3 linked regions of the Pelodiscus sinensis genome follow. The protein of the gene in region 1 binds, or shares a complex with, the protein of each later gene. Links are inferred from orthologs where the notes say so. Each region holds a gene or a part of one and is shown in the gene's direction. Other genes may lie near its edges.

Region 1 (7,900 bases):
GCTGTCCACCTCCTTCCCATAGTGCATTGCCTAGTGCATTAGTCTGGGAGCTGACCTTGTCTGTGAAGACAGAGGCAAAGAAAGCATCAAGTACTTGAGCTTTTCCAACATCATTTGTCACTAGGTTTCCTCCCTCATCCAGTAAGGGCTCAACACCCTCTCTGATCACTCTTATTGCTAACATGCCTGTAGAAGCTTTTCTTGTTACCCTTCAAATCCCTTGCTAGCTGCAATTCCAGTTGTGCTTTTGCCTTCCCTGCATTCTTGAGCAATATATTTATACTCCTCCCTTGTCATCTGTCCAAGTTTCCACTTCTTGTAAGCTTCCTTTTTGTGTTTAAGCTCACCAAGGATGTCCCCTTTAAGCCAATCTGGTTGCCTACCATATGTGCTTTTCTTACTGTGCATGGGGATGGTTTCTTCCTGTGCCTTTTTAATAAGGCTTCTTTAAAATACTGCCAGCTCTCCTGGACTCCTTTCCCCTTCACATAAGCATCCCAGGGAGTCAAGTATATCTTTTTGTTTTAATAAAAGCACCCTTTTTAAGGTGATGATTTGATTCTTGTGTCCTGGAAGATCATAGGAGGTCTATGTATAGGGTTGCCAGGTGTCCGGTCGGTATTTGTGGCTTTTGTCTGGTTTAAAAAAAAACCCTGAAAATACCAGACATGTAAAATATACGGTATTTTCTGTTTTTCTCGGATTGAAGGCTGCTTGGGACATTCTTCCCCCGCTGTGTCTGGTGGGAGCAGGGGAGTGCAGGAATTCAAAGGGTCCATGACTCTTATTTTTTGGTCTTTTTGGGGGGGTGGGGTTTTTTGTTTTAACTTTTGGTTCTTTCTTTTTTTCTTTTTTGCTCAACCAATTCTTTTCCTGCCATGTTTGGTGTTTTTTGTAAAACACTATATATATGGATGCCTAAGACTGAGGGTCAGCTATCAGAGATTCCAGTTTCTTTTCTCTTTCTGCAAAGCTCTCTTTTGGTAAAATCAGGTCTTCATCACGTGATCCCTCTCCTGTCATCCATTTCCAGATAAACAGAGGCTAGGGACAAGGTTCCTACCCATCCTAGCTAATATGTCCATTGATGGACCTAACCTCCATGAATCTAGCTCTTTTTTTAACCCTGTTAAAATCCTAGTCTTCACCACATCCTCCGGCAAGGAGTTCCACAGATTGTGCACTGAGTAAAGGAAAACTTCCTTTTGTTTGTTTTAAACCTGCTTCCTATTAATTTCATTTGGCGACCCCTAGTTCTTTCATTGTGGGAATAAGTAAATAACTTTTCCTTACTCACTCCTTCTACAACAAAGTAATGATTTTATAGACCTCTATCATATCCCCCCTTAGTCACCTCTTTTCTAAGCTGAAAAGTCCAAGTCTTTTTAATCTCTCTTCACATAGGACCCATTCAAACCCCTAATAATTTTTGTTGCCTTTTTCTGAACCTTTTCCAATGCCCATATTTCTTTTGAGATGAGGCGACCACAGCTGTACTCAGTATTCAAGATGTGGGTGTACCATGGTTTTATATAGAAGCAATAAGATGTTCTCTTTTTTTTTAATGATTCCTAACTTTCTAGTTACTTTTGACTGCCACTGCACACTGAATGTATGTTTTTCAGGGAACTATCCACAATGACTCCAAAGATCTCTCTCTTGAGTAACTGTAGCTAAATTAGTCCCCATCATATTGTATGTATAGTTGGGATTATTTTTTCCAATGTGAATTATTTTACATTTATCAACATTTCATTGCATTTGCCATTTTGTTGCCCAATCACTTAGTGCGGTGAGATCATTTTGAAGCTCTTCACAGTCTGCTTTGGTCTTAACTATCTTGAGCAGTTTGGTATCATATGCAAATTTTGTCACCTCACTGTTTATCCCTTTCTCTAGATCATTTATAAATAAATTGAATAGGATTGGTCCCAGGGCAGACCCTCGGGGGCTCCATTAGTTATCGCTCTCCACTCTGAAATCTTACCATTTATTCCTACCCTTTGTTTCTTGTCTTTTAACCAATTACTAGTCCGGACCTTCCCTCTTATCCCATGACAACTTATTTTACTGAAGAGCCTTTGGTGAGGCTGAGGTATCTTGTCAAAGGCTTTCTGGAAATCTAAGTACACTATATCTACTGGATCCCCTTTGTCCACATGTGTGTTGACCCTCTCAAAGAACTCTAGTAGATTAGTAACGCATTATTTCCCTTCACAGAAACCATGTTGACTTCCCCCAACAAATTATGTTCATCCACGTGTCTGACAATTTCATTTTTTTACTATAGTTTCAACTAATTTGTCTGGTACTGACATTAGATTTTGCCAGGATCACCTCTAGAGCCCTTTTTAAATATTGGCGTCACGTTAGCTATCTTCCAATCATTAGGTACAGAAGGATAGGTTACAAACCAGTTAATAGTTCTGCAATTTCCCATTTGAGTTCTTTCAGAACTCAAGGGTGAATGCCATTTGGTCCTGGTGACTTGTTACTGTTTATCAGATTTTTTCCAAAACCTTTTCTAATGACACCTCAATCTGGGAAAATTCCTCAGATTTGTCACCTAAAAAGAATGGCTCAGGTTTGGGGATCTCTGAATTAAATAATTCATTTAGCTTCTCTGCAATTACTTTAGCATCTTGATCTTCCAGGGACTCAACTGGTTAAGCAGGCTTCCTGCTTCTGATGTACTTAAACATTTTACTATTAGTTTTTAGTTAGCTGTTCTTCAAACTCCGTTTTGGCTTTTCTTATATTTTTACACTTAATTTGACAAAGTTTATGCTCCTTTCTATTTTTCCCACTAGGATTTGACTTCCACTTTTTAAAAGATGTCTATTTCACTGATTCTTTTACTGGTTGTTAAGCCACAGCAACACGTTTTTGGTTCTCTGAGGCTATGTCTACACTGAGTTTAGCCGAAAGAGGCAATGCAAATGAAGCACAGATTAGTATTTTCTCGTGCTTCATTTGCATAATCTTTTCCGAACCGTTTTTGCACAAAAGCAAGCAGGGTGGATGTTTCCTTTTTGTGGAAAAACCCCCTTTTTGCACAAGATCCTTATGCCTCAAAAAAGGAGGTATAAAGATCTTGCGTAAAAAGGAAATGTCCACACTGCTTGTTTTTGCACAAAAACTCCTTGCGCAAAAACGGATCAGAAGATTATGAAAATGAAGCGTGAGAAAATGCTAATCCGCACTTCATTTTGAATTGCCTTTTTCAGCAAAACTCATAGTGTAGACATAGCCTTACTGCGTTTTTTAATTTGGGTTATACTTTTAAGTTGGGCCTGGTGCTATGGTGTCTTTTAAAAGTTTCCATGCAGCTTGCAGAGCTTTTACTTTTATAACTGTACCTTTTAATTTCTGTTTAACCTCCTTGTTTGTGTAGTTCCCCTTTCTGAAATTAAATGCTAGTGTTGGGCTGCTGAGGTATTTTTCCCACCACAGGGATATTATTACATCTGGTGTGGGAGGTCAATATTGTTCTTTGTAGGAAAGTAGCTAGTGAAACCCTAGGACCTGGATAATGCTGTCAATTAATGCATCAGTGCAGGCCTGCTTGGGAATGGACCAATGGGGGCACAGAATGGGCTCTTTCTAGGCTACATCTACACTGGCAGCTTCTTCCACAAGAACTGTTTTGCGGAAGACTTCTTGCACAAAAAGTCTTCCACAAGAGCGTGTCTACACTGGCATGTGTTTCTGTGCAAGAGATGTGCTTTTGCGCAAGAGCATCCATGGCAATGTGGACTTTCTCTTTGCAAGAAAGCTCTGATGGCCATTTTAACCAAAGGGGCTTCTTGCTCAAGAAATTCATGTTGCTTGTCTACACTGGCCTCTTCTGGAAGAGCTCTTGCACAAGAGAGCTTCTTCCTGAGAGGGAGCATCAGAGTTCTCGTGTAAGAAACTCTGATTTCATACAGTAGAACGTCAGTTTACTTGTGCAAGAACACGTGGCCGGGTAGACACAGCCTTAGTGTCTTCTTTTTAGATCCTCTCTCCTTTGTTCAGGCACATTTTTTTTTCAATTAAGAGGCAATAAAGGGGTCCAGGAAAACCTAGACATGTGCTAACCCTAGGTTGTAATAGTACTTGTTCAAGTTCTGCAACTTAGGAGAATCATGCATCATGATTCTGCATTAGCAAAACTCAAGAGAACTGTTCAGCACAGGGTCCCTGTTTCCGCCAGAGTGCTGTGGTACACTGGACAGTGGGAGTTAATGGCCCTGTGTGAACATGACTTTCAGCTCCCACTAATCCATTGGTAAATCACAAGTATAGCACAACACATGGAGCCAGGTGGCAGCCTGAGGCACAATGAGATACTTACGGGTGATGCTGCACCACTGAGGCAATCATTCATGTGTGATGACCACAAATGCCCAAGTAGGCATGTGCGCAAGCCTTACACAAAAGTTGGTGGCTGTACATTGACCTAACATGGGCTAACCAAACCTGGCAGTGTGGCTGCGGGATAACACCACTATTTGGGAATGTCCTGGTTTACATGAACCTGCAGGGAAGTTGAAAAGCATCAGAGGGATAGCGGAGCAGGTCTGTAACTGGAAAAACTTAAGCAAAATGCAGGACAATGTAGCACTTTAAAGACTAACAAGATGGTTTATTAGATGATGAGCTTTCGTGGGTGGGTCTGGCCCACGAAAGCTCATCATCTAATAAACCATCTTGTTAGTCTTTAAAGTGCTACATTGTTCTGCATTTTGCTTCAGCTACCCCAGACTAACACGGCTACATTTCTATCACTGGAAAAACTTAAATAGTCTTGTGGCACCTGTGAGACTAACACCACCTGGAGATGGTACCTGAGCTTTCGTGGGCACAACCTACTTCTTTCACCTGAAGATGTGGGTTATGCCCAGGAAAGCTCATGCTGCCCTCTACATGTTTTGCTGGGCTGCAACCCTACCTCTTACTGTGAGACAAAGAGCTTGTGGGAGCAGTTTACTGCCACACACGCAGCACCTTCCTCCAGCCCAGCCCCTAGCCCGCCCTCCATCTCAGCTCCTGCATAGCGCCCCCCTCCCCTCCCGTTCCAGCTCCTGGGGGCGGGGGGGGGCTCCGGCGCGCGGGGTAAGGGCGGCCCTTCCATGGGGGCTCGTGCAGGCCTTGCGCGCAGTGCGAGCACTTACTGGAGCCGAGGGCACCTGGGGTTTCCTGTTGGACCCGGGCCCGGGGGAGCGCGCCGCGCCCGCAGCTGCTCTCGGCCCGGGGAACGCGCGAGGTGCAGCAGCAGCAGCAGCGGCGGCGGCGGCGGCGGGCGAGGCGCGAGCCTCTCGGAGCCATTAGCGCCGCTGCGCTGCCCGGCTCCAGAAGCATGGCGGGCGCCGGGCCGTTCCGTGCCGTGCTGGCCATGCTGGAGGGCTGCTACGCTGAAGTGCTGGGGCTCGAGCGGTTCGTGCAGAGGCTCCGGGAGGCGGCAGCGTGCGGGCCGGGCCACGCTGAGCTGCTGCAGCAGGGAGACTCCGAGCTGTACCAGGCGTTCGTGGCCCAGTGCGTGGTGTGCGTCCCCCGGGGAGCCAGAGCCATCCCCCAGCCTGTCTCCTTCCAGCAGGTACTTGCGGCGGCGGCGGCGACTGGGGAGGGGGCTGTAGGGCTGGCGTGCCTCACGGGGCACTTGCTGCCTCCATCGCAAGCCTTATGCTTTGGCGGCGCGAATAGTTCCCGGCTGCTTGCCCCGGCTGCGGACTGACCTTGCTTTTGCGGAGCAGAGGCTAGTTCCAGAGCAGGAAGGGGCGCTCCGCTGCCTTTTCTCCTCTTCCCATGGAAAGAGCGAGGCTGCAGTGCCCCGCGCGGGCTGCCTATGCTCGCTCTTCTGTCTCGGTGCTTTCCTCTCGCTTGTCTCCCGCGCCTGGGCTTGCGTGCGAGTTAGAGCCTGCACATTGTCTTGTAAGACAGCAGCCACTCAGATGTTTACTTTTCCGTGTGGGGCCAGGTAATCGCTTGGCCCTGGGGGGGGAGGGAGGGAGCGGGGGGGGGGTCGGGCTGAATCTTAGCTTCTTCTGCCACAAGCCCTGCAGCGGGGTGGTTCTTCCCTCCCCTGATGGTGATGGATGAGCACGTGTCACCAGGCTCCTAGGCTGCAGCTAGATGAGAGTGAGGGTTAAATGTAAGATTACATTCATATGGTTCCATGCCTTTATGTTTTCCTTGTTCGGGTTGGCCCTCCCTGGTCCAAAAAGAGGGAAATTTGCTGGACCAGGAGAGGTTGCCTGCCACCAGCCCTGTCACCCCCCACTGCCTCCACTTCTGCCCTGGCCATCCCCCACTGTCTCTAGCCCAGCTGGGCTGCTGGCCCTTCCCTACTGCAGGTTATGTTTCCACCCTGGCTGCCCCCCTGCCTCTAGCCTGGCCGGGCCATTGGCCCCTGCCTATAGCCTGGCTGGGCACTCTGCCCTGGCCGTCTGGCCCCCAAGCCCTGCCGGCCTCAGTTTTACTGCCACAAGCCCTCCTGCCACGAGACTCCAAGCCCCAGGGCTCTCTGGCACTGAACCACGGATGTTGCCGGACCAAAGTGGCCCAGTTTTGGGAAGTGCAGCCTCTATGCTACCATCAAAACCAGGGACAGGGAACCTCTGGCCTGTGGGCAATTCACCAGGGTTAGCTTGGTGGGCCACCAAATGCATTGTTTTCCTGAGTGTCCACATGGCTGCTCACAGCTCCTAGTGGCTGTAGTTTGACATTCCCAGCCAATAGGAGCTTCAGGAAGCTGTGTCACTGTAACTGCCACTGTGTGGATTTGAACCTGGGATCTCTGACGCGGAGTATAGGAGCCTCTACCTTGGGAGCTAAAAGCCAGCTGGCTCTCAGCCCCAGCTGTAGAGGTCTCTTGAGCTTAACTGTTGCTGTGGTCTAGGTACCACTTGCACTGCTTAGTAACCACATTAGGTGTGTGGGTTACACCACTTCCCGCAGCTCCTATTGGACAGGAACGGTGAACTGTGGCCACTGGAGCTGCGAGTGGCCGTGCCTGCAGACACTCACATAAACAAAGTGCCTGGCGGGCCGCATCTGGCTACCATGCTGGAGGTTCCCCATCCCGGATCTAAACATTGAAAAAGAAACCGTAATTTTTGTTTAATTAGAGCTTGTGATGGATGGAAGGGGTATCCACAAGAGATCTTTTCTAGACATATCAGCCATTCTATTAATTAAATTGCCTGTAAAGGGTTAAACCCAAAGACAGTGGGTCTCCAGGAAGTGTTATCAGGGAGCCAGGAGAGCCAATGGGAAGAGAGTGAGAGATTTGAATTAAAACAGGTTCTGTGATATGGGAGGAACATGACCGCCACCATCTGTTCCTTGCCCTTTGAGGTTACTCCCCTCTGGCCCTTCAATGACATCCATCCTTATTTTCACTGTGCAGCTCTGCCTTGGAGATGAACATCTGGCCCTGATCTCGTTTGGCTGTTTTGTCGAGATTGGTTGCTCCTGGGCTACTCTGCCCAACTGCAAATATGAGCACTAGGCTATTTTCTGGCCCTTCTGTAGCTTCAGTTGCCCTGAAAGCTATAAAAAAAATAATTTGGTTTGGATCACTGGCTTTGCAAGTTGAACTTTCTGTGAGCCTTTTTTCCCCGCAGGCAGTAAAAGAAAAAAAATCCCTAAACTTTCAAATAGTCAAAAGGGGGGGAAAAAGCATCCTTTTAAAATTGAGTTCTGTGTTCCTGGTTCAAAATTATTCCACCTCTGCCACCATGTCAATGCGGTTTCCCACTCTGGCACTTTGAATGCAGTAGGTGGGGACCCACAAGAAATCTTAAAAATACCCTGCCACTAGAGGCTTCTGTGGTTTTTGTTTGTTTGTTTGTTTTTTAACACTTCCCCAAACGTTCCCTGACTTTGGGTGGTACACTGCAACCATCCAAATGCAAAA
Region 2 (7,509 bases), on another chromosome or scaffold:
GCAGCAGGCCAGCCTTGGGGCCCTGCGGGGGGAGCTGGCCCGGCTGCGGGGGGAGCTGGCGGCTGCCAGGAGAGGAGAGACCCAATCCCCAGAAGTGACTCAGGTGAGGACCCCCCCCCCGATTCACAGGGGGCCCTATGAGAGCAAGGGAGTCAAGTGGTTACATGGGGGGGGGAGGACTCCTGGATTCTCTCCCCGGCTCTGGGAGAGGAGTGGGGGCTGCTGGTTAGAGGGGGGGTTGGGTGCCAGGACTGGGTTCTCTCCCCGGCCCTAGGAGGGGGCATCTTACCAGGGAAAATCCGAGGCGCTGCTTTGCTTTCGCTCTCCCCTTATTCTCCACGAGGGAAGACCCCAGAAGGGTTAAAAAACTGAGGGTCCCCCCCATTGGGGTGGGCGCGGGGCTGGGGGACATGCGAAGCCGCAAACGCAAAGCCCGGACCGATCGTTAGCGCGGGCGGAGGAGGAGGAAACGACCCACAGCTCTGGGAAACCCCGCGAGGGGGAGGGGAAGGCTCCCAGCCCCCACTCCTGTCCACGATCTGCTGAGAGAACTCAGGCGCCCTGGCTCCCCGCCCACCCTCTGCTAAGATCAACCGGCCCCCACCGCCTCCCAGAGCCGGGGAGGGAACCCAGGCCCAGGCCGCCCCCCGACCCCCTCCCCGGGCCCCTGCACATTGTGTAACTGCCCTGCAGGTCTGGGTAATCTTTACAGAGCTGAACAGCGGCCTCGCTTCCTTAGTTCCACTTCCAACGAGCATTGCCCAGCTACACCCACATCCGGGAGGGGCGTGGGGACAGCTGGAGCAGGAGGGCTGGGAGCCAGGACTCCCGGGTGCTCTGCTCGGGTCGGGGAAGGGAGTGGGGGCTGGTGGGTTAGAGCAGGAGGGCAGGGTGCCAGGACTCCTGTGGGTTCTCTCCACAGCTCTGGGAAGGGAGTGGCGTGTAGGAGTTAGAGCAATAGCTCTGTTCCGGGGTTAACCCTCTCCTGTCCGTCGTTCTTTCAGGAGTCCGGGGAGCCAGGCCTGCTCCTGGGGACCCTGTTGCGGCAAAGAGGGAAGAGGTTCTCCGAGAACTCAAGGGACCAGGACCAGCGACAGCCACATAGTCAGTGTCTGGGGCTGGCGGGAGGCAAGAGGGAGGAAGGGACAAGGGGCTGCAGCTGTCAATCTATGTGTGTGTGTCCTCTTCTCCCTGGCTGTGTCTACATTGGCATCCCTTTCCGGAAAAGGGATGCTAATGAGACACTTTGGAATTGCAAATCCGCGGGGGATTTAAATATCCCTCGCAGCATTTGCATATACATGGCTGCCGCTTTTTTCTGGCTCGGGGTTTTTGCCGGAGAAAAGCGCCAGTATAGACGCAATTCTCCGGAAAATAAGCCCTTTTCCGGAAGATCCCTTATTCCTACTTTCAAGTAGGAATAAGGGATCCTCCGGCAAAAACCCCGAGCCGGAAAAAAGCGGCAGCCGTGTAAATGCAAATACCGCGGGGGATATTTAAATCCCCCGCGGATTTGCAATTCCGAAGTGTCTCATTAGCATCCCTTTTCCAGAAAGGGATGCCAATGTAGACACAGCCCCTGTGTGCAGAAGATGGGACACAGATAGAGCCTCTCCTCTCTAAGGACCACCATCTCCCATCCAGCCCCTAGGGCAGGGACTGACTGCGGGGGGGGGGGGGGGAGGACGAGAGAATGGAAAGTAACAAACTCAGGGAGGGAAGCACCACATGATGATCTCACCTCTCTTAATCTGGAGTCATCCCTGATGGCAGAGGTATCAGGCTTGGATTCTGCTTCCAATTCTTGACCTCAGGTCAATTTCTGGTAAGAGCTGTTACTCCCTGCTCCCACAGTGGAACCCCAAGCTGAGATGGTGGCAGAGATGGGATCCCTCACTGATTATCTCTGTGAAACTATGGACCTTGCGTGGTGCCGCCTGAGATGCTCTGGGGATAGTACCTAGCATTGAGGTTGGGCTGTAACCTGGCAGTTCTGGGGACACCAGACTTAAAGCCCTTTGGCTCACACTGCTTGGTGTGAGCAGTGGGATCAAGTGCCACCTGGTAGGGCTGTTTAAGTTCCCAGTGGCAGATCCAAGCTTTGGCAGCCTAGGGTAAAGGAGAGCAAACAGAGAGGAAGGGCAGGTTATGGGGAGGGAAATTGGCAAGTCACAGTCTCTCTCTCTCCAACTTATCCCCAGGGAAACGATCGGTTCTGCATCTGGCCCCCAGCCACTGCTCCACCAATGGTGAGTCATCAACCCCCTCAACACCCTACCACAGTACCCTCCTTCTATGGGTGACCCACACTGAAAATCAAGACTCCTGGGTTCTCTCCCTGGCTCTGGGAGAGGTGTAGGGGCTGGTGGGTTAGAGCAGGAGGGAGCTGGGAGCCAGCACTCCTAGGTTTTCTCCTGTCCCAGGAGGGGAGCTGGCTCCAACAGGGTAGATCAGGAGGAGCTGGGAGCAAAGGGGCACTAACAGCCTCCCATCTGCTTTGCAGACGAAGGGGACATGACTGAGATCTGGTGGCAGCCTTTCCTGCAGCAGGGCCAGGCACTGGAAATCAGTGGCCCAGACATCACTGTGAAGAAGACGGGTTTGTACCTCATCTACAGCCAGGTAAAAGCCCCCTGCTATGGGGGACAGCCCCAAACTCCATTGCCCACCCCTGAGCCAGCAATCCCTACCTTGGGACTGGATGGGAGCCAGCACCACCTAGAGGGAATAGGCCCTGTACTCCATTGCCCACCCCGTGGGCCAGCCAATCCTTGCCTTGGGGCTGGATGGGCGCCAGCATCACCTAGAGGGGACAGGCCCCATGCCCCATTGCCTGCTCCCCTGAGCCAGCCATTTCCTGCCCTGGTGTCAGATGGGAACTGGCACCCCCCTGAGGTGACAAGTCCCCTGCCCCATTCCCCAGTGACAGCCAATCCAATCCTCTCCCCTGCCCCCCAGGTGCTGTTCCATGACCCTACATTCACCATGGGGCAGGTGCTGTGGCGGGCACCACTCGGAGGCCCGGGGCAGATCCTGCTGCGCTGTGTGCAGAGCATGCCCCGTGAGCTGGAGCAAGCCTACAACAGTTGTTACAGCGCAGGTGAGGGAATCCTGGCATTGGGAGGCAGGCTCCAGCTATTGGGGGTGCAGGGCAAGGACCACTGGGGGGGGGCAAGTGGGAAAAAGGGAGAAGCAGCCACTGGGGGAGTGATTTACAGGGAATGGGGAGATCTGTCCCTGAGCAGGTTGGGAGGTGGGCTCTCCACACACATCCCATAATGTCCCCCCAGGTGTTTTCCAACTCCAGCGCGGAGACCGACTAAGCCTTCGCATCCCTCGAGCCAATGCATCCCTGGACCTTAGCCCCCATGGGACCTTCCTGGGCCTATTCCGCCTGTAGGGCCCACCCATGAGACCCAGGCATCCAGAGAGCTGCAGAGGGATTTGGCCAGGATGGGCAGAACTTAGACACTGGTGTCCAGGGAGCTGCAGAGGAATTCAGCCACCAGAGATTCAGGAGCCAAACCTCCCATCAGGAGTGTGTGAAAGGGGTTCATCACCAGAGGGCAGCAGAACTCCACCCTGGCCAACAGGGGCCGCTGACAAGCACACCTGCCCTGAAACAAACCAATACAACTAAGGAAACTCCAGGCAAAAAAAAACTTTGTGAAGGTTGCAAATGGAGTTTGCATCATGGAGGCCTTTGAACAATCCTGGCAACGGTGGGGCTGGAGGCCAGAACTTCTGGGACCTGAGAAGGGAGTGGGGACTAGAAGTGGGGCAGGGGAGGAGGGAGGCTTGGAGCCAGGACTCCTGGGTTCTCATCTGGCTTTTGTACAAAATCCAAGGCCACAGAGATGCCTGGCAGCCACATGGGTACAGCACAAACAGTGCTAGCCCAGGTGGCTTGACCAGCCTGGAAGGAAGCCAGGCATCTGGGAAGTAGCTGAGGAACTGGGCTGGTTTGTAAGAAAGGGACCCAGGCATCTGGGGAGCTGCTGAGGGACTCAGGCATCCTGAGGGAAAGGATCCAGGCAGCTGTGGAGGGACTCAGCCGGCCTGGGAGAAAGGGACTCAAGCATCCGGAGAGCTGCAGTGGCACCTTAGAAGATCCCCCCACCCCCACTGTTACAGTCCCAGGTTGGAGCTGGGACTGGGGGGCTCTCTCCTGTTGGCTTGTTACCTGCTAATAAAACAATTATTGCACGTTACCAATGTCTCCCCCCAAAGGGGATGCTGCATGGCCCCCAGGCCTATGTCCCCCGCGCCAACCACCCTCCCTCCCAGCCAAGCCCCCGCACGCCCTGATCCAGCTGCCCCGCAGTCCGGATAGACACACCCCAGCCGCCCTCCACCTCCATTGGGCCACATACGGGGCTCGGCTCAGGGGCTGAGATCTCGCGGGATTTCAGTGGGGGGCGTGGGAGCTAATGGTTCGGATCCTGTAGCGTTTCCGGGCACCTCTCGCGAGATGTGTGCGAGGGGGCGGGGTCTCCTGCTACTATGGCCGCCGTCAGCCCTTGAGCTTCTGGTGCTGCTGGGAGGTAACGGCGGAGCCCCGAAGATAGTGTGTTCTTCCACGCCCTCCCGCAAAGAGTGGACTATTCCACCTCCCTCCGCCCCAGGAGTGAGTGGGCTGTTCCATCCTCCTCCCTCCCGCCCGAGGAAGAATGGGCTCTTTCACCCTCCCCCTCCCTAAGGGAGTGGGCTCTTCCAGACGTCCCCGGGAAAAAGTGGACCTTCCCGCGGGGCCTCCGTATGGGAAAGATTGGGCTCTTCCACCAACCCATTTCCCCTAGTCCCACGAAATAGCTGGACTCTTCCATCCTCCTCACCCCAGGACAAAGTGTACTCTTCCACCTATCCTTCCCTCCACCGGAGAGAGTGGGCTATTCCACCCCCCCCCCGAGAATAGTTTCTTCCATGCATTCCGCGCTCCCCTAGACAGTGGGTTCTTCCATCCAGCCATTCCTCTCCCCTCCCCCGTCCCATCGTGGGTAAGAGCCGGGAACTTGGAGACACCTGGTCTTGGAGGCGGGGCTGGGAGCCAGGACTCAAAGGTTCGCTCCCCAACTCTGGGAGGGGAGTGGGGGCTGGTGGTTGGAGCAGGGGGGTTGGGAGCCAGGACAGCTGGGTTCTTTCCCAGGCTCTGGCAGTTGCTCTGCACCATTAACTCTTTCTCGCCTGGCTCTGCAGGTGCCCGTCCTGCGCTCTGGGAATGACTGACTCCCCAGGCACCCTGGGCAGCTCCAGCTGGAGCCAGAAGACGGACATCCCTGAGCGCTCTGCCAGCTGAACCCTCTGTGCTATGGAGCCGGGCATGCCCGGTGATACTGTGGATGACCCCACTGGAGGGGACCCCGGGTCCCAAGCGTTGCCTGCCAAGCTGGCCAGGCAGAACAGCTCCCCCCCAGTATCTGCGCCAGAGCGGGTGCAGAGTGAGGGGCCGGCAGAGGACGGGGATGAAGCGGTGGAGGATGGAGGGCAAGAAGCGGCATGGGAAGACGAGGGCTAGTAAGGACCTGGTGACAAGTGGGGCCCCACACATACAGCTGCTGATCTTGGATCTCAGCGGCACGGGGAGCATCTGGTTCTGATTGTGGGGGCTGAGCTGGGGAGGGGTGTTTTGAGCTGCTGTGTGAACCAGAGACTAGCTCATTAAAACTGGGGGTAAGGGCTGGGAGCCAGGACGTCTGGGTTCTGGCTCTGAGGGCAGTGGGAGCTGCTTGAGTTAGAGCAGGTGTCCTGGGCTTCCTTTGTACCAGTGTCTTCCTCTCTTTTCCCCCTCCCAGCCTTCCAGGCTATGAGTTCTTGGCTCCCCCCAAGCTGTTGACAGGCGCTTGGGGCGAATACAGCCAGGTGCCAGAGAACTTCCTGAAGGGCTGCAAGTGGTAGGTGGCTGGGCTGGGGCCTGGGGAAGGGTAGATATCTGGGGACTCTGCCCTGGGATTGGAGGCCCCTGGAGGGCTGTGGGTGGCATAGCACCCCCTCGTGGAAATAGGCTACTCTCAGTGCAGCACAGAGCCCCAAAATTGTTTCCTCTAACTCCCTGGACTGGGACCCCCTTGTGTTGGTTGCTGGGCAGGGCTGAGGGCTTCCCACAATGGGATGGGTGCTGCTCATACCCTCAGTACAGAAGAGTGAGTGGGGAAACTGAGGCACAGGGAATTTCTAGCCGAGCATTGGGCAGGGACTAGAGGCTGGTGGGTTAGAGCAGTGGGGGCTGGGATCCAGGACTTCTGGGTTTTCTCCCCAGCTCTAGGGCAGAGGGGTCACCCTGATGGCCTGGCTCTGCCTTCCTCTCTCCAGGGCCCCAGATGGCTCCTGTCTCCTGACCAACAGCGCTGATCACACCCTGCGCATTTACAACCTGCCCGTGGAGCTGTACGGCCCGGAGTGGGGGGACGTGGCTGAGATGGTAGGAGGGAGGGGCACTGCTGGGGAGTGGGGCAGGAGGAGCTTGTCGAGGGAGAGTTGCTCCCTGTGGGGGTGGGATTGTGCTGGTTCCATGGGTGTGTGGGTGGGGGACAGCCTCTAAATGGAGGGCCCCCCGCCATAGCTGTCCTGGCAGGCAGGATGGGGCTAGTCAGCTGGTAAAGGGGCTGGGGTGTTCCCCCAAATTGTAGTCTGCTCGTGGCTTACATGTCTGAAGAATTAAAATCTCTTGCTCCCCCACCAGCCTGAATTCCCCTCCCAGAGATAAGAAGAGAACCCATGAGTCCTGGCTCCCAGCCCCCTGCTCTAACCACTAGTCCTCACTCCCCAGAACCAGGAGTTCTGGCTCTGTTTGTTCTCTCTTGCCCCACCATGCCGTGATGCACCTTTTGCTGCCTGACTGTCCATATCTGTGTGTCTGTCTCCTCCCAGAGTCCTGTGCTGCGAATGGCTGAGGGAGACACCGTTTATGACTATTGCTGGTTCCCGCTGATGAGCTCTGCGGATCCCCCCACCTGCTTGTAAATGCTGCAGCCTGCAAAGGGCGTCCCCTACTGACGGGCTGTCTACCCCACTGCACTGAGAGAGAGTGCAAGCCTTTCTCATCAGGCCCTGGGCAGGGACTGTCTGGCCCAAGGGGGCGGGGAATGGGACATGTGGCCTGTCCACACTCTGGAGCGCTGGCTCCACCATTGTCCCCCTGTCCTGCACACTCATGTTTCCCGCTTGTGATCCTGCAGCTTTGCCAGCAGCAGCCGAGACAACCCCATCCATGTGTGGGACGCTTTCCATGGGGAACTGCGGGCCACGTTCCGCTGCTACAACCACCTGGTGGGTACAGAGCCTGGTTCCCATTTCCTGTGCTCTAACTACTAGGCCTCAACCCCTCCCGGAGCCAAGGTAGAACTCAGGAGTCCTGACACCTCTCTCTGTGCATCTGTCCCCAGGATGAGCTAACAGCCGCTCACTCTCTGTGCTTCACCCCCGACGGCTCCCAGCTGTTCTGTGGGTTTGACAAGGCTGTGCGGGTGTTCGACACGGAGCGCCCGGGGCGCATGTGCGAGAGCCGTCCAA
Region 3 (7,236 bases), on another chromosome or scaffold:
TCTTCCCCCTGGGACCTGGGACTGTCCCGGATGCCTGGGTCCCCTCCCCTGTCCTGCTCTCTTCCCCCTGGGGCCTGGGACCCTCCCGGACACCTGGGTCCCCTCCCCTGTCCTGCTCTCTTCCCCCTGGGACCTGGGACCGTCCCGGATGCCTGGGTCCCCTCCCCTGTCCTGCTCTCTTCCTCCTGGGACCTGGGACCGTCCCGGACGCCTGGGTCCCCTCCCCTGTCCTGCTCTCTTCCCCCCTGGGGCCTGGGACCCTCTCGGACAGCTGGGTCCCCTCCCCTGTCCTGCTCTCTTCCCCCTGGGGCCTGGGACCCTCCCGGACACCTGGGTCCCCTCCCCTGTCCTGCTCTCTTCCCCCTGGGACCTGGGACCGTCCCGGATGCCTGGGTCCCCTCCCCTCTCCTGCTCTCTTCCCCCTGGGGCCTGGGACCCTCCCGGACACCTGGGTCCCCTCCCCTGCCCCGGTCTGTGTGCCCTGGGTGCTGGGCCCTGAGGGCCCTGGGGGTGGGAATGTGGCGCCCCCCGGTGGACGCACGCACCTTGCAGACGAAGCTCTCGTCCGCGCAGAGCTGCTCGACGTACGGCAGCAGCGCCGGGTCCGGCAACGCCCCGGGGGCCGGGCTCTGGGGCTCGCCGTGCCCCCCCGCCTCCTCCTCCCAGCCGGGCCGGAGCCCCTCCATGATCTCAGCGTACTGCCGCACAGCTTCCGGCGGGATCTCCCGCGGCTCCCCCGCGGCCGGCGGGCCAGGCGGGCGGCGCTGGCGGCGGCGCGGCTGGCGCCCCTTGGATGCGGCTTTCTTGGGGATGTACACTGCCGGGGAAGGGGAGACACCATGCAGGGACCGGAGGGGGACACTCCTGTGCACCCCCAGTCCTGGAGACCTTCCACCCAGCCCAAAATCCTGCACGGGGGGAAACGTACACGGGTTTTGTGGGTGCGTGCAAGGTTCTCGGTGTGTGCACAAGTGCTCGGTGGGAGCAAAAATAAAACACGCACACGTGCGAAAAAAAATCACGTGCAAATGCCGATGGGGTGTGAACCATTGTGCAAGGATTCTGGGTAGGTGCAAAAGCAGGCAGGGTGCACCCACTGGGGCCAAGTCTCAGGGGGCAAAGATTCCAGGTAGATCTGAAAAGTGCAAACGTTCTAGGTCCGTGCAAAAAGCATCAAAGGGCACGTGCGAGGACGTGCAGATTCTGTGCAAAAAAGCAGGTAGGTCTCAGGCGTGGGCAAGAATCGAGCCCGAGTGCTCGGTATGTACAGAAAAAAAGGGGGGGGAAAAAGGTCCAAGGTGCTATGGAGAGGGAAAAAACCCCGCACGGGTGCAAATGTGCTGGGTCTGTGCAAAAGCCGTGCGAAGGGGTGTGAAAAAACGTGCAAAAGTGAAAGGCTCGTGCCAAAAGAAAAACAGGGGGAGGAGGGGCAGATCGGCCCGTGGGCTGGCGGGAAGTGGGGTTTTCCCTCCCCTACCGGCCTTTGGGGGGTACCTTGCTGCTGGCCGGCGTCGGGGCCTGCTGGGCCGGGGAGATTGGGGGGCTCGGCGGGGAGGGGCTGGAACTGGGAGCTGCTCAGGAGTTTCATTTTCTGGATCTGCAGCTCCTCTTCGGCCTCAAACTCCATGAACCTGAGGAAGAGGAGGGGTCAGGCTGGGGCGGGGGGGGGGGGGTCCCTGGGGCGGCCCCGTGGGGGGGACACTCACTTCTCGGCCATCTCGTAGAAGATCATGCGCTCGAAGTTGCTGCTGCGCTCCCACTCCTGCACGGCCCGCGGCACCCCCTCCTCCGGCGCCAGCTCGGGGCGCAGCCGGCCCAGCGACCGCAGCACGGGGCTGGGGGGCGGCAGCGCTGAGGGGAGCCTCTTGCTCCTGCCCCCCAGCCCTATTCCTCGCTCCCGCCCTGTGCCCCGGCCCCACAGCCCTGCCCCTCCCCGCACTCCAAACCCAAAGCCCCGGCCCCCCAGCCCTGCCCCTCCCCGCACTCCAAACCCAAAGCCCCTGCCCCCCAGCCCTGCCCCTCCCCGCACTCCAAACCCAAAGCCCCTGCCCCCCAGCCCTGCCCCTCCCCGCACTCCAAACCCAAAGCCCCTGCCCCCCAGCCCTGCCTCTCCCTGCACTCCAAACCCAAAGCCCCTGCCCCCCAGCCCAGCTGGTGCCCCTCGCTCCTGACCCACAGCTCCTGACCCCTAGCCCTGCGGGTGCCCCTCGTTCTCATCCTGCAGTCCCTACCCCCCAGCCCTGCCCCACACTCCTGCCCCCCAGCCTTCCTGGTGCCCCTTGCTCCCGCTGCATGGTCCCTGCTCCCCCAGCACTGCCCCTCTCTCCTGCCCCACAACCCCTACTCCCCCAGCCCTGCCAGTGCCCCTCGCTCCCTCAGCCCCTGCCCCCCAGCCCTGCCGGTGCCCCTCACTCAGCCCCACAGCCCGGCTCTCACATGAAGAAGCAAGCCAGGGCCTCGGCGTCGGGCGTGCCCGGGTGGTGCCGCCGGGCCAGGGCCTTGTAGCGCTGCCAGCGCCGATAGTTCTCGTAGACGCCCTTGGAGGTGCAGGAGGCCGAGGGGTCGCTGGCGGGGGGCGCCCGGGCTGGGGCCGCCGGGGGGGCCTCCCTGGGGCCCAGCTCCTCCCCAGCCTTGCTCAGCAGCACGGTGCGGATCCCGGCGGCCAGCTGGAGCCGGAGGGGGGCCCCGTCCCGTCGCGGGGGGCCCCAGCCTGCTGGCGCCCCTGTCAGGATGATGGTCTGGGCCCGGGCCGACTCCGGGCCCCCCTCGGGCTTCAGCTTCACGATGAGTTTGCCCCCGGGGGCGTCGGGCGAGGTCAGGAGCAGGGCGGCGCCAGGGAAGGTGGGCAGCAGGAGGGGGGGCGGCGGGGCGCTCATGGCGGGGATGGGGGTGCACGGGGTCCCTTTGCAGAGGATGTCAGCAGCCCCCCCTGTCGGAGAGCAAGGGCTGATGGGAAACTCCCCCCCCCTCTTGCTCCCAGGTGCCGGGTCGAATGAAAACAATTCCGGAATCCAGAGACATCGGGAGTTCTGAGCTGGGGGGGGGGTTCCGAGCCCGATCCTGGGGTTCCCCTGCACCCGCTCTACCAGGGCCCCTCAATCCCCCCCCTCCGCCCACTTCCACCCCTCCAACTTTCCTGGTGCCTGTCAATCCCACCCTGGGGAGGCTGGCTCTGAGCCCCGCCCCTCTCCCGAGACCCCGCCCCTCCAACTCAAGGCCACGCCCCTTCTATGCTGGAGAACAGTCCCACCCCGTCACCGATGATACAGGGCAAAACACAGTCGTACGCTAGGCTGTTCCTTTCCGCAAGTTAGTCCGGATGGCCGGCGAGGTACACTGAGGCACGTTGCACTGCGTAACGCTACATTTTAGCTACATTCCCGCTTGCCCCCAGTTAGGGTTGCCAGAGAGTTTCACCAAAAATACCGAACGTGGCAGGGGAAGAAAGTCCCAAGCAGCCTTCTGTCCGAGAAAAACAGGTATTTTCTTGTTTTTTTTAACTGGACAGACACTGCAAATACCGGACTGTGCGGGCCAATAGGAGACACCTGGCAAAACTACCCCCAATGTGCATACAGGCTGAACCTCTCTAGTCCGGCACACTCTGTTCCAGCAACAGCCATGGTCTGGCAGCATTTGAGTTAGCTGGGTGTCCACTTGGGCGTGGCCAAGTTTCCCGCTGTCCCATTAAGTCCGTTTACCGCCGTCAGACCTGCCTCTCAGGGTGCGTCTACGCAGCACCCTAAACTCAGAAAAAGAGACGCAATTTGAGCCACGTTTTTTTCTTTGTGATCCTGTCTGATATCTGTTTTGTGGGCATTGATCCTTTGCCGAAGCGTCTGAGACGTTTGTCCAATGCACATAGCAGACGGCGTTATAAGATCAAGAACACATATTCCTGCGCATCCAGAAATACAATTTATGCTATCATGTGCCAAAAGTGTCCGTCTGCTATATACATTGGACAAACGTCTCAGACACTTCTGAGGATCAATGCCCACAAAACAGATATCAGACAGGATCACAAAGAAAAAACCGTTTCTTGCCATTTCAACCAGAAAGGACACTGCCTCAACAACTTGATTACCTGCATCCTGCTTCAAAGGCCTTTTAAGACCATGCTTGAAAGAAAATCCTCTGAACTGTCATTCATGCTTAAATTCGACACTTTACGCCTAAGTTTGAATAAAGACTCTAATTATCTTACTCATTACAAAGATAGCTTCCCCAATTATCACCTCTAATATCATTAGCCCTCCCCCCCAACCTCCTTCTGTTCTGAAATGTCATTTGTCCTTTTCAAATGTGTTCATTTTTTTTAATTGTATCCTTTGGTATATAGGGTTGTGACAATTTTCTTCCACTATTTGATCTGAGGAAGTGGGTCTGGCCCAGGAAAGCTCATCCCCTAATAAACCATCTTGTTAGTCTTTAAAGTGCTACATAGTCCTGTCTTTTGTTAAGGCTAGAGAGCACTGCAACTCCCAGCATGCATTGGGGCCAGAGCACACTACAACTCCCAGCATGCATTGGGGCCAGAGCGCACTACAACTCCCAGCATGCATTGGGGCCAGAGCGCACTACAACTCCCAGCATGCACTGGGGGTAGAGCGCCCTGGAACGCCCGGCGCGTTCTTGGGGCCAGAGCGCACTACAGCTCCCAGCGTGCCCTGCGGCCGCCCTTCCGCCAGCTGCCCGCCGGGTTCTACGCACGTGGCGCGGGGCGCTGGGGCCGCAGCATGTTCCTGCAGTTCTACCTCAACGCGCAGGGCGAGCGGGTTTACACCCTCAAGGTGGGACCCCCCCCCAAGGGGAGCGAATCCGGATCCGCGGGAGCGGCGTGCGCCCCGCCTGCTCTGCAGGGCAGCACCCTGGGGGCGGGAGGGAGGAGCACCGACAGGGCTGGGGGGCAGGGAGGAACACCGGCAGGACTGGGGGGGCAGGGACTGTGGGGCGGGAGTGAGGGGCACCTGCAGGGCTGGAGGGGCAGGGGCTGTGGGGCGGGAGGGAGGAACACCGACAGGCCTGGGGGGCAGGGACTGGGGGGGGGGGGAGGGAGGAACACCTGCAGGGCTGGAGGGCAGGGGCTGTGGGGCGGGAGTGAGGGGCACCGGCAGGACTGGAGGGGCAGGGGCTGTGGGGCGGGAGTGAGGGGCACCTGCAGGGCTGGGGGGCAGGGGCTGGGGGGCGGGAGTGAGGGGCACCTGCAGGGCTGGGGGGCAGGGGCTGTGGGGCGGGAGTGAGGGGCACGTGCAGGGCTGGGGGTAGGGGCTGTGGGGCGGGAGTGAGGGGCACGTGCAGGGCTGGGGGGCAGGGACTGTGGGGGGGGAGGGAGGAACACCGGCAGGACTGGAGGGGCAGGGGCTGTGGGGCGGGAGTGAGGGGCACCTGCAGGGCTGGAGGGCAGGGGCTGGGGGGCGGGAGTGAGGGGCACCTGCAGGGCTGGGGGGCAGGGGCTGTGGGGCGGGAGTGAGGGGCACTGGCAGGACTGGGGGGGCGGGGCTGAGGGGCGAGATAGGGGGACACCTGCAGGGCTGGGGGGGCAGGGGCTGTGGGGCGGGAGTGAGGGGCACTGGCAGGGCTGGGGGTAGGGGCTGTGGGGCGGGAGTGAGGGGCACATGCAGGGCTGGGGGTAGGGGCTGTGGGGCGGGAGTGAGGGGCACATGCAGGGCTGGGGGCAGGGGCTGTGGGGCGGGAGTGAGGGGCACTGGCAGGGCTGGGGGTAGGGGCTGTGGGGTGGGAGTGAGGGGCACTGGCAGGGCTGGGGGTAGAGGCTGTGGGGCGGGAGTGAGGGGCACATGCAGGGCAGGGGCTGTGGGGCGGGAGTGAAGGGCACTGGCAGGGCTGGGGGTAGGGGCTGTGGGGCGGGAGTGAGGGGCACATGCAGGGCTGGGGGCAGGGGCTGTGGGGCGGGAGTGAGGGGCACTGGCAGGGCTGGGGGTAGGGGCTGTGGGGCGGGAGTGAGGGGCACTGGCAGGGCTGGGGGTAGGGGCTGTGGGGCGGGAGTGAGGGGCACATGCAGGTCTGGGGGCAGGGGCTGTGGGGCGGGAGTGAAGGGCACTGGCAGGGCTGGGGGTAGGGGCTGTGGGGCGGGAGTGAGGGGCACCTGCAGGGCTGGGGGGGCAGGGGCTGTGGGGCGGGAGTGAGGGGCACTGGCAGGGCTGGGGGCAGGGGCTGTGGGGCGGGAGTGAAGGGCACTGGCAGGGCTGGGGGCAGAGGATCAGGAGCGAGGGGCACTGGCAAGGCTGGAGGGGGCAGGGGGTCGGGAATGAGGGGCATCGGCACTGCTGTGGGGCAGGGAGCAGAACCGGGCTAGCCAGGGACGATGGGTCTGGCCCCGGTTGCTTTCACACATCCTGTCCCTTTCTCCCTGGCAGAAAGTGGACCCCACGGGCCAGCCGACCTGCTCCGCCCACCCCGCCCGCTTCTCCCCGGATGACAAGTACTCCCGCCACCGCATCACCATCAAGAAGCGCTTCGGGGTCCTGATGACGCAGCAGCCGCAGGCCGTCCTCTGAGCCGTCCGCCGGCACCACCGCTGAGCCGAGATGGGGCCAGGCTCCTCCCCGAAGCCGGCCCCCCGCTGCCGCCGGGACCCTCGCCTGTGTCTAGCCTCCGACTCCACAACCCTGCTCCTCTTGGCAGCAAATAAATTGTCTTGATCCCACATCATCTGTCTGGTTTGCTCCTTCCCGTTTCCTGGTCTGGCCTGCCAGGGAACACCCCCAAATCATTCCTAATTGACCTGTCTGGAGGTGCTGCTGCCAGGCCACTTGGTTTCACCATTGCAACACATTTGTTTAAACAACTTCATCGTAGCCGGGCGGGCGATGAGATTTTTGGGTGTAAAAAGTACCAAAAGAATAAAGTGCTGTAAAACTTAAAGCAAACATTCAGTTTTCTCCAAATTTCAGCTGTGGGGAGGTACCCCCTGGACTTCCCACTCGTACCACGGCGCTAGGGGATCTCTCACGTGGTTCGGGATGGGTCAGCCAGCAGGGGAAGGTGTGGGGCAGAGAGCAGGGACTTATCCGCCCCTGGTGAGGTTGATAGGAACAGTGGGGGGCTTTTGGGAGTAGATCTGGAAGCAGGAACCAATTTGGCCCTTGTCAGTGGTCATTCGAAACTGGGGGGGAGACTGAGGGCCGGATGTGGCCCCCAGCTTACTTGGATCCAGCCCCTGAGACTCCGTGCCCCCTCCCCCCCATTCCTGCATTGGAGAGCCTGTGCTGGTGT

The links.
Region 2: TERT (region 1) and WRAP53 share a complex: the UniProt entries of both Homo sapiens proteins name them as parts of the telomerase holoenzyme complex. The link is inferred for Pelodiscus sinensis from reciprocal best matches to the Homo sapiens genes TERT and WRAP53.
Region 3: TERT (region 1) and NOP10 share a complex: the UniProt entries of both Homo sapiens proteins name them as parts of the telomerase holoenzyme complex. The link is inferred for Pelodiscus sinensis from reciprocal best matches to the Homo sapiens genes TERT and NOP10.

Annotation. Positions count from the first base shown.
Region 1 is NC_134712.1:139,865,601-139,873,500, reverse strand, and holds the start of TERT (telomerase reverse transcriptase), read left to right. Parts: upstream 1-4,864; 5' UTR 4,865-5,341; coding exon 5,342-5,578; intron 5,579-7,900. UniProt on the Homo sapiens protein: Telomerase is a ribonucleoprotein enzyme essential for the replication of chromosome termini in most eukaryotes. Active in progenitor and cancer cells. Inactive, or very low activity, in normal somatic cells.
Region 2 is NC_134734.1:10,097,492-10,105,000, forward strand, and holds the start of WRAP53 (telomerase Cajal body protein 1), read left to right. Parts: upstream 1-4,419; 5' UTR 4,420-4,544; exon of another isoform or gene 4,545-4,627; intron 4,628-4,727; exon of another isoform or gene 4,728-5,060; intron 5,061-5,196; 5' UTR 5,197-5,308; coding exon 5,309-5,514; intron 5,515-5,792; coding exon 5,793-5,891; intron 5,892-6,309; coding exon 6,310-6,418; intron 6,419-6,867; coding exon 6,868-6,956; intron 6,957-7,175; coding exon 7,176-7,266; intron 7,267-7,382; coding exon 7,383-7,509. Other genes in the region: uncharacterized protein LOC102454093, read left to right, coding at 1-103, 1,005-1,104, 2,202-2,249, 2,504-2,622, 2,959-3,100, 3,291-3,400. UniProt on the Homo sapiens protein: RNA chaperone that plays a key role in telomere maintenance and RNA localization to Cajal bodies. Specifically recognizes and binds the Cajal body box (CAB box) present in both small Cajal body RNAs (scaRNAs) and telomerase RNA template component (TERC).
Region 3 is NC_134740.1:2,572,971-2,580,206, reverse strand, and holds NOP10 (H/ACA ribonucleoprotein complex subunit 3), read left to right. Parts: upstream 1-4,634; 5' UTR 4,635-4,739; coding exon 4,740-4,793; intron 4,794-6,377; coding exon 6,378-6,518; 3' UTR 6,519-6,667; downstream 6,668-7,236. Other genes in the region: NUTM1 (NUT family member 1), read right to left, coding at 546-817, 1,495-1,631, 1,707-1,835, 2,437-2,876. UniProt on the Homo sapiens protein: Required for ribosome biogenesis and telomere maintenance. Part of the H/ACA small nucleolar ribonucleoprotein (H/ACA snoRNP) complex, which catalyzes pseudouridylation of rRNA.